Saccharomyces cerevisiae S288C: one gene and its partner. The protein of the gene in region 2 interacts with the protein of the main gene of each other region in a biochemical or structural test. Each region holds a gene or a part of one and is shown on either strand. Other genes may lie near its edges.

Evidence for each region.
Region 1: the proteins of FCP1 (region 2) and TFG1 form a complex in vitro, tested with the Saccharomyces cerevisiae proteins (3 studies listed by BioGRID, with this or other methods).

Annotation. Positions count from the first base shown.
Region 1 is NC_001139.9:865,876-870,727, forward strand, and holds TFG1 (transcription factor IIF subunit TFG1), read left to right. Parts: upstream 1-1,898; coding exon 1,899-4,106; downstream 4,107-4,852. Other genes in the region: tyrosine--tRNA ligase TYS1, read right to left, coding at 461-1,645; HGH1 (Hgh1p), read right to left, coding at 4,357-4,852. UniProt on the Saccharomyces cerevisiae protein: TFIIF is a general transcription initiation factor that binds to RNA polymerase II.
Region 2 is NC_001145.3:818,323-823,530, reverse strand, and holds FCP1 (protein serine/threonine phosphatase), read right to left. Parts: upstream 3,276-5,208; coding exon 1,077-3,275; downstream 1-1,076. Other genes in the region: phosphoribomutase PRM15, read right to left, coding at 1-768; ubiquitin domain-containing protein DSK2, read right to left, coding at 3,583-4,704; ubiquitin-ubiquitin ligase BUL1, read left to right, coding at 4,950-5,208. UniProt on the Saccharomyces cerevisiae protein: Processively dephosphorylates 'Ser-2' and 'Ser-5' of the heptad repeats YSPTSPS in the C-terminal domain of the largest RNA polymerase II subunit (RPB1). This promotes the activity of RNA polymerase II.

The DNA.
Region 1 (4,852 bases), on a different chromosome or scaffold from region 2:
GAAGAAAGGTGGTAAAAAAACTTAATAATGTATCGCAATAAGAAGGAGGGGCAAAGAAAGCAGGATGCTACTATTAAAATAGTTTGCTTTTGTTAAATGCCCAGTTTCACGCTATAAGTATGCAAAATTAAAGAATAAAAAGCCCAATGAGGAATAAAGCAGTTTTATTGAGGTGAGACTAAAAGGGTCTAGCAATGAAAACAATATATGTTTCCTTTTTAAAATGTACCAAAGTCTTTATACTCGCTCGTTGATGTACTGGGCGTTATCAAAACTGTTTGCCACTGGGTAGTTGCCTTATGGTCACTATCTGCAAGTTAAATTCAATCGCAAGAGGAAGAGAAAATAAACCGTCGCATCACTTTTCTACACTTACCCGGTTATTAATTTTATAACGTTTATATGATATATCTTTTCTTATTTATTATATTATGAATCGTGAAAACGGATTAAGCTATGCTTACAATTTGGTTTCCTCTAGTTTCGTGGCAATCTCGTTGGTCTTAGTAGCGCCTGGGTACTTAGTACCCTTATTCTTTGGTTTCTTAGCCTTTTTCGACTTTTGTGGTGTGGCAACTGGATAACCCTTTTCGGAGGCCTCTTGAAATTCCTTGTTGTTGGCAAATTCTTGTCTGATTGGCTCCAATAGCTCGTTGATAGCGTCAGCAACACCAATTTTTAGATCAGGTGGGGACAATTTTTCTTCTTTAAAAGCCAATTTCATTTCTTCGAAGGATTTGTAGGTAATTGGACCACCGAACTTTTCTGGTCTATCAATGAAGAATTCGAAGTGATTTGTACCAAACTTCAATTCTTGGATTGGTGCAATGACATATTGGACAAATGACAGTAAACCATTCTCTTCGACGTTACCGGGGCTACAAAATGCACTATTGATCTTTTTCTTAACTTGCTTTGGTTCTTCCAAAAGGTCGATTTTTGAATTCGGATCAGAGGCAGACATTTTACCACCTTGAGCCAAACCTGGAACCATAGGGTTCATTAAATGTGCTCTTTTCTTGTAGCCCAAACTTGGTAAATTTTCTTCCGCTAAGACAAAAATTTTTCTCTGGTCGACACCACCAAATTGGCAATCAACATCTAAGAATTGTTCGTCCAACGCTTGCATTAAAGGATAGATAAGCCCACTCAATAATGGATTGGCGACTTGCTTGACAACATCAGCGCCTGCCCTTTTAGCATCGTTTTGTGAAACAATGTTGGATAATCTAAAGATATCCATGGTATAGTCTGGAGTTAGCTGGTAAGAAGAGCCAACAACAAATTTTAGCTTTTCAATTGGAACATTGATGCTTCTCAAGATAGCTTTGATGGTCAATTCATAGTATTTGGCCCTATAGTTCACCACTTCCAATGGCGCCTTCATGTTGTCCAAAAAGGCGTGCAAGTCTGCTAAAAGAACAGTCACTTCACAACCTGCTTTCAAGAAATCAGCAAGCTTGGTCATAGGAACAAAATAACCACAATGAGGTCTTCCAGTGGGCGCGGTACCCCAGTATAATTTCAAATGTCTCTTTTGTACTTCGAGAACATCTTTGATGATTTGTGGGTTCAAGACTTCTTGCAAGTTCTTGGTAATGAGACCGAACGCCTCATTAGGGTCAACCGTGGCAGCAGAGGACATGTTATCGTCAATTAGAGTATGCGGTTATGGATGCTAATCTCTTTTTGACAATGACTAATTTGTATTCTGAAGAAAGAACAATTAATTTTCATAAAATTTTTCTACTTTGTAAATGTTCGAGTTCCGTTCTTAGTGATGCTCGAATAAGGACCTTCTCGCCTCCATGATAAAATAAAAATTATGATAGTAAGAAGTATGGATGGTTCGAAAGGTTGAAGAATAGCTAGGGAGGCCTATTCGAGTAAGCGCAAGGATGTCCAGACGCAATCCACCAGGCAGTAGAAACGGGGGAGGTCCGACGAATGCCTCTCCCTTCATTAAAAGAGACAGAATGAGAAGAAATTTCCTGAGGATGAGAATGGGTCAAAACGGCAGCAATTCTAGTTCCCCAGGCGTACCAAATGGAGACAACAGCAGGGGATCTCTTGTCAAAAAGGATGATCCTGAGTATGCTGAAGAGAGAGAGAAAATGCTTTTGCAAATCGGTGTCGAGGCCGATGCTGGCAGGAGCAATGTTAAAGTAAAGGACGAAGATCCTAATGAATATAATGAATTTCCCTTAAGAGCTATTCCAAAGGAGGATTTAGAAAACATGAGGACACATCTTTTGAAGTTTCAGAGTAAAAAAAAGATAAACCCTGTAACAGACTTCCATCTTCCCGTAAGACTGCATAGGAAGGATACGAGAAACTTGCAGTTTCAGCTAACAAGAGCAGAAATTGTTCAAAGGCAAAAAGAAATTTCTGAGTATAAAAAAAAAGCAGAGCAAGAAAGAAGTACTCCTAACTCGGGTGGTATGAATAAATCAGGAACGGTCTCGCTCAATAATACTGTTAAAGATGGGTCTCAGACACCTACTGTTGATTCAGTTACTAAAGACAACACGGCCAACGGTGTGAACTCCTCCATTCCTACTGTAACTGGCTCTTCTGTCCCTCCTGCTAGTCCTACTACTGTATCCGCCGTTGAAAGTAATGGACTGTCAAATGGTTCAACTAGTGCAGCTAACGGTTTGGATGGCAATGCATCTACAGCGAATCTAGCTAACGGAAGGCCGTTAGTGACAAAACTAGAGGATGCAGGCCCAGCTGAAGACCCTACTAAAGTTGGAATGGTCAAGTACGACGGAAAAGAAGTGACTAACGAACCGGAATTTGAAGAAGGAACTATGGATCCACTAGCAGATGTGGCACCAGATGGAGGCGGTAGGGCCAAACGAGGAAATTTGAGAAGGAAAACTCGTCAATTAAAAGTTCTTGATGAGAACGCCAAAAAGCTGAGATTTGAGGAATTTTATCCATGGGTTATGGAAGATTTTGATGGGTACAATACATGGGTGGGTTCTTATGAAGCAGGTAACTCAGATTCTTATGTCTTGTTAAGTGTAGAAGATGATGGAAGTTTTACCATGATTCCTGCTGATAAGGTTTATAAGTTTACCGCAAGAAATAAATATGCTACTTTGACCATTGACGAAGCAGAAAAAAGAATGGACAAAAAAAGTGGTGAAGTGCCACGTTGGTTGATGAAGCATTTGGATAATATAGGTACAACTACAACTAGATATGACAGAACAAGAAGAAAGCTTAAAGCCGTCGCTGATCAACAAGCTATGGATGAAGATGATCGTGATGACAATTCAGAAGTAGAGTTAGATTATGATGAAGAGTTTGCCGATGATGAGGAGGCACCTATTATAGATGGTAATGAACAAGAAAATAAAGAATCAGAACAAAGAATCAAGAAGGAGATGCTGCAAGCTAATGCGATGGGGCTTCGTGATGAAGAAGCTCCTTCCGAAAACGAAGAAGATGAGTTATTTGGGGAAAAGAAGATTGATGAGGATGGTGAAAGAATTAAGAAGGCATTACAAAAGACAGAACTTGCAGCACTATACTCATCGGATGAAAATGAGATCAACCCATACTTATCTGAATCCGATATTGAAAACAAAGAGAATGAATCGCCCGTTAAAAAGGAAGAAGATTCGGACACTCTATCCAAATCCAAGAGATCTTCTCCAAAGAAACAGCAAAAGAAAGCTACAAATGCGCATGTGCATAAAGAGCCAACTTTGAGGGTGAAAAGTATTAAAAACTGTGTCATTATCTTGAAGGGGGATAAGAAAATACTGAAAAGCTTCCCAGAGGGAGAATGGAATCCACAGACGACAAAAGCTGTAGATAGTAGTAATAATGCATCGAATACAGTGCCTTCGCCAATCAAACAAGAGGAAGGCTTGAATTCTACAGTGGCAGAAAGGGAAGAAACTCCAGCGCCTACAATAACAGAAAAAGATATCATCGAGGCTATTGGTGATGGCAAAGTCAATATCAAAGAGTTTGGAAAGTTCATCAGAAGAAAATATCCTGGCGCAGAGAATAAAAAGCTAATGTTTGCCATTGTAAAAAAATTGTGTCGAAAGGTTGGCAATGACCACATGGAATTAAAGAAAGAGTAGGTTAGTTTATAATGTTATGTACTTAATAGGTTATTTAGTTTTCGTTCTTTTCATTCTTTCCTTTTTCTTTCCATTTAATCTTATGTAGTTACATTATACTGTCATTTTAGTTGCAGTAAGTATACTTTTTTATCTAGTCTTTTTTTCTGCCTTTTTTTTGAGAAAAGACTCAGAATTCTACTAAACTCTAATATATTGTTATTTCTGTATTATACAATTCTATGCTATGTGAACTGTCCTTGAAAGTGACCTAGGCCACTTCGACAATTTCATCTTCTTCGTCGTCATCTTCTTCTTCTTCACTCTCCTCCTCTTCTTCCTCTTCCGCATTCTTTGATGGCATCTCTTCCACTGCTCCCGCACCTGGCTCGCCTCTCATTAACATATTAACAATTCTGTAACATAATTCACCAATATCTTCATTCTCAACGTTTTTATGCAGCTCCCTCACTAGTGGATAAACGGACTTGTCTCTTAAGTATTCTCTTCCAGCATGCGTTGTACATAGCAAAAGAATACTTTCTAAATGACAGCATATAATTGCAGGAATCGGGTCTCTTTCCTTGTCCTCTGGTAATAATTGAAGTTCATCTGGTAAATTGAACATATCTTCCTCATCAATTTCAGAATCTTTAGCACTAGCAATAGGTAGCAGGATGTAAGGCAACAAGTTTATTTTTTCATCTTTGAGTAACCTTTCATGAGTTTCAGAATCAAATAGGGAATTTTTAATTGTGGAAGCGACA
Region 2 (5,208 bases):
ATGCATTGGAGTGTAAACGAACCAAGGTTTGGCTTTTACTTCAAGCTTTAATGGGTTGATTTCTACCAGATTTTTAGAAACCTCCTCTAAATATAACTTCAGCATTTCTTCTCTGGAATACATCAATTTCCCTTGTTTGAGAGCCTTATTTAGAACATCGTCGAAATCCCACACATTGGCCCATGGTTCTAAATTTGCGTCAATGGAATCAGAGATGGCATGATCGTGAGGTGGAATGATTTGGCATCCATTGGAATAGTATACTTTATATCCATTATCCATTTTTGGGTTGTGACTTGCTGTTATCATTACGCCAACGGAGGCCTTTAGCTTATCCACTGCAAAGGGAACTAAAGGGGTATGAACAAATTCGTGGTCAGGATTCAAATAATGTACCTTAAATCCTTTTAAAAGAAATGCAGCAGCAGTAGCTCTAGCGAACTCCTTAGAATGGAATCTATGATCGTGTCCCACAACAGCTACCAAATTGTCTGGAAACTGTTGTCTTACATAAGTTGCCAATCCCTGAGACGCTTGTATGACTACTAAAGTATTCATCCTGCTAAAGCCAGCTTGCATTTGCGATCTTAAACCAGCAGTGCCAAACTGAATTCTAGAATCAAATCTTTTGTGTAACTCATTCCAGTCGGATTTTTTGCAGAGAGCGGTGACCTCTTCTATAGTTTTTGGGTTGCGGTCTTGCTTAAACCATAATGATATCGGATCTTTCAAGTCAGATGGTACGGTTTCTAAAATTCCTTGCAACATTTTTTGAAATTGCAGCAGCTAATGGCTCGAGAGTACTGTTGAGTATTTAGGGGGAAAGGAGAAAGAATCAATTAGTTCTCGCTACAGGGAGAAAACAATACAATATATAATGTTCAAAAAAAAAAAACGAAATGAAATCAAAAAAAAAAAAAAAAAAAAAAAAAAAAAAAAAAGGATTTCAGGATATCAAAATAAGCAAAAATATTGTTGCTATTTATCGATTTGTTACAAACGTATATATAATATGAACAATTATAGGTACAAAGACCAATGAGGAAAATGTGTGGAAAGATACGGCATCTGAGCTGCTAATCATCCAGCATATCCATCAACTCTTCCTCCAACTGCGAATCGCTGTCTTCGTTGTCATCCCCTTCTCCTTTATGTTGTACAGGACCATCTTGAGAAGGTTCCGCCTTGGTCTTCTTTTGTGATGTATCATCATGATTGTCCTCGATGCTCCTCTTTCTGTCAATGCCTTCCGAGTTGTTTTCGTCATCACTTTCGTCGTCGTGGTCGTCATCTTCGTCGTCGTCGCTAGCTGTGTCCGGAATATCTTCATCGTCGTCATTGTTTAACCATGAAGTACCAGCAGCGAATAAATTTAGATTTTCTTGTGATGTCAACATATGCTGTTGTTCCTGGGTCTCCTCCAGATATTCTTGTCTTTTTTGTAATTGTGTTTGAAAGTTTTGTAATTCCTCGTCGGAGATGGGGCTGTCCACGATTAACGTGTAGGGTTTTTCATCCACCTTTTTCCAATTTACCAAACACTCAAATATCCAATCTGGGTGAACAATTTTAATCTGTGGGTTGAACTTTTTCGCTAGACGCGCTTTATAAGTGCTAGGGTTCTTGGTGATTAAATGTGTCGTCAGGTAATCTATATCTGGAGTGGAAGTGGCACCAAATGTACTCGTCCATATCACTATGTCCGACCTTTGAATATCGGTCCCGAGGGGTATTAATCCTGAAAAAACAAAATAGCAATTTTGGAAGACTTTTTGCTTCAAACTTGGTATGATTTCCATCAGATTTGGTTCTGGCTCATTTTGTTGTGAGAGCATATCATAATAAGTTTTGTGAATGTTTGATAGCGTACCCATTAAGTAGTATAGTTCATCATCGTCATCAACTAGTAGTTTTTGATCATGCAGGTGTTTTTGTAGTTTGGCCAAGGGTCGATTTTGTTGTTGGACTTCTAAAGATGCTGAATATTCTAGTTTCTTGGTCAACTCTTCTTTGGATTCGTTCGCAGGAGGCTCCTCAGCAGTCGCCAGTTGATGGTTCAATTTTTCTTCTTGGCGTTTAACTTCTTTATCTATCTTTTCTTGTAGTTTTTTTTCGTTATCCATAATATCCGTCAGCAGTTCCTGAGATTCTTGGCTCTTCTGTCTTGTCTTCCTCCCTAGTTGTAGCATTCCTGTAGATTGTTTGGGCAAGAAATTAGAATTAATGTCACCTACACCAACGAAGAAGTTATAAGGAACAACTTTGATCAAGTTTGGACACCAATTCCAAACATCACCTCTGTCGTCAATAACTACAACCATTGACTGGTCAGTGGGGAAAAGTTTAGCTAATGATTTAGTTGTTAGAGACCCATTTTCATCACGCGACAGAATTCTATCGCCAAACAATTCGCCCGTAGGGTCCACGATTTTGGCAATTTGCAAGGCATAAGCCCTTGTAGCCATTGTGTAGATATGCATTTCAAAAAGAGGCGCCACTTTAGCGAAAAATTCCTTTAAACCGGGCCTTACCTTCACGTAGTACCAACATTTTCTTACGGGAGGCGGTCTCAGCATAGAACCATCGTCATTCATGTACATAAGTGGGAGTACTAACTCCTCATCCAACGTAAAGCTCTTGACGTCTCTTAATGTTTCAAAATTCGGATTATTGGGGTCGTTCTTCCACTCTGCAATCGTAGGGTCCACGCCACAATGGATGATGGTTTGATCTAAATCCACCACTAAGATAAGTTTCTTATCCCGTCGCAAATGCTCCTTCAATGCCTTGCCTGTTCTAATGGCTTCTGTCTCGCTAATCTGTAAATCCACGTCCCCGACAACGTCTAGTGGTACACCATCGAAGGCATCTGCAGAAACTTCTTTCCCGCATTGAGTACATAGCCCGCCATACACGATGTCATGGTTACATGGCCTTTTTATTTCGCAAATCACTTGGTTAGCAGTGGCTACTTCATCTCCTACGTCTACATTCCAACTAATCAAGTCCCCCTCGTAGGGACTTTCGAAGAATTCTATGGATTCACGCAGTTGTTTGGTTGGCGGAGAGACACCATTACTTCCGGCGCTGCCGCCGGGGGAAACATCGTGCTCGTTATCATCGTCACCAGTGTCTGAGGCCCTTTCCACCAAATACCAGAACTTATAGACAAGCAACCTATCACCCTCATGAAGGTACGAACCTACGCTTGGAATGAGTTTATCGATCTGAATCGGATACGGCAAGCCTTGGGGAGACCTTATTTGTGTGGTCATAATCTGCTTTGCTTGTGTTTACACGTTCGCGGTCAATGCAAGTACCGCTATATGACTAAATACAGTACCCTGGCTGCTAATTAAAGGGGGAAGGGGTGATTGATTGGGATGATTAGCTCGTTGTTATTATGTGTTTATTACTGTAGGTGTGAAACGAAAATTTTTTTTTTTCTTTCGCAAGGGCGCGTCTTCCAAAAGTGTCCAGATATTATGATGATATTATTGATGGATACATGTAATACGTAGATTAAATATATGCCGATAGAGTAGGGTAAAAGTATATAGGTTGCGGCATCTAGACGTTTATTTAAACATCGCCGTTCAGTAGTGAATCAAGAGCGCCTTGGACGGAGCCACCGCTTCTCCTGAGGGCTGCGACGTTTCTATCGAAATCGAAGAAGCCCATGTCGTTTAGTTGTCTTAATTGATGTTCATAGCGTTCTTCCGGTGGTCTGGTGTCTTCTGCTTGAGATGCTTGTACAGGGGGTTGGAACATAGACGCTAGCAATGCAGGATCGAAGGCGGGCATCCCGGTGGATGCAGCGTTTCCCGCGTTAGCAAAGGGGTTTAATGCAGGGTTCAGAAGAGACGCAAATGGGTTTGCAGCTGTGTTAGCGCCTGCGTTGGTACCTGCATTAGTCCCTGCGTTGTTCCCTGTGTTGGATGAGGAAGTAGTGTTCGTGTTGGAGCCTTCCTCTGGAGCATCGCCACCAGGAGCGGGGAAGGCAGAGGCAGCCCCACCTGCAGAGCCCATACCGGCATTAGGGTCCATCATTCTTGCGAATTGCATGCTCTGTCTAATCATATCAGGATTGGTGAGCATCTGTCTAAACATGGGACTTTGTAGCATTTGCCTGGCTTGTGGACCCATGGCCTGCAATTGCGGGTTGGACTGGATCATAAAGTCCAACATCTGAGGGTTACTCAACATCTCGTTCATTTGCGATTGGAAGATGGGGTTTTCCATCATCCTCAACAGCTCGTCTTGGTTATTCGAGTCGTTGTTTAATGCACCACCGTCCGGGCCAAACATGTCTGCAGATGGCATATTCAAATATCCAGCGTATCTGGCACTGGTCAAGTCGGCCAGCGGATTGAAGCCTGCACTTTGACCTGACGACATGTTCGGGGTGGCGCCAGTGCCAGCTGCTGCACCGGTGGCGGTGGCGTTATTTGCGCCAGCGGCACTGGCGGTTTGTGGTTTGGGTTGTGACTTGACCAGATGGACGCTGTGACCGTCTTGAATGTGGTATGACTCCACGGTTTGGTCGTCCTTTAAAATCTTACCCGAGTAGATCAATCTCTGATTTGCCACCGGGATACCGTTCGCTTTGTTTATCGCCTCCTTGAATTGCAACACTGTGCTTTCAGGTGCCACATTTACTTCCCACTTGTCTTGTCCTGACTTGATATGTATATTCAACGACATTATCGTGCTAGAATGATTCGGTGTCTTTGATCCGTCTTATTTGCCTCTCGTCCATCGGTGGATTGAACTTAAAACTGGCTTTAAATTGTTCTTTCCCTTCAGCGGGCCGTGACCCGCTCTCAGAGGCTATTTTAATAATGATAAAAGTATTGCAATGAAGAGCCGCATAGTGATTATGGAAAGAAGCTCTTAGCAAGGGCGAAAAGAGACTGTTCGTGTGTGTCAACAGGTATATCGTACGCTAAATGGCCAAAGATTTGAACGATTCGGGGTTTCCACCGAAGAGGAAGCCTTTGCTGCGTCCTCAACGATCTGATTTTACCGCAAATAGTTCGACAACTATGAACGTTAATGCAAACACAAGGGGGCGTGGTAGGCAGAAACAAGAGGGTGGTAAAGGCAGTTCGAGGTCACCGTCGTTACACTCTCCAAAATCATGGATAAGAAGCGCGTCTGCTACGGGGATCCTTGGACTAAGACGTCCCGAACTAGCACATTCTCATT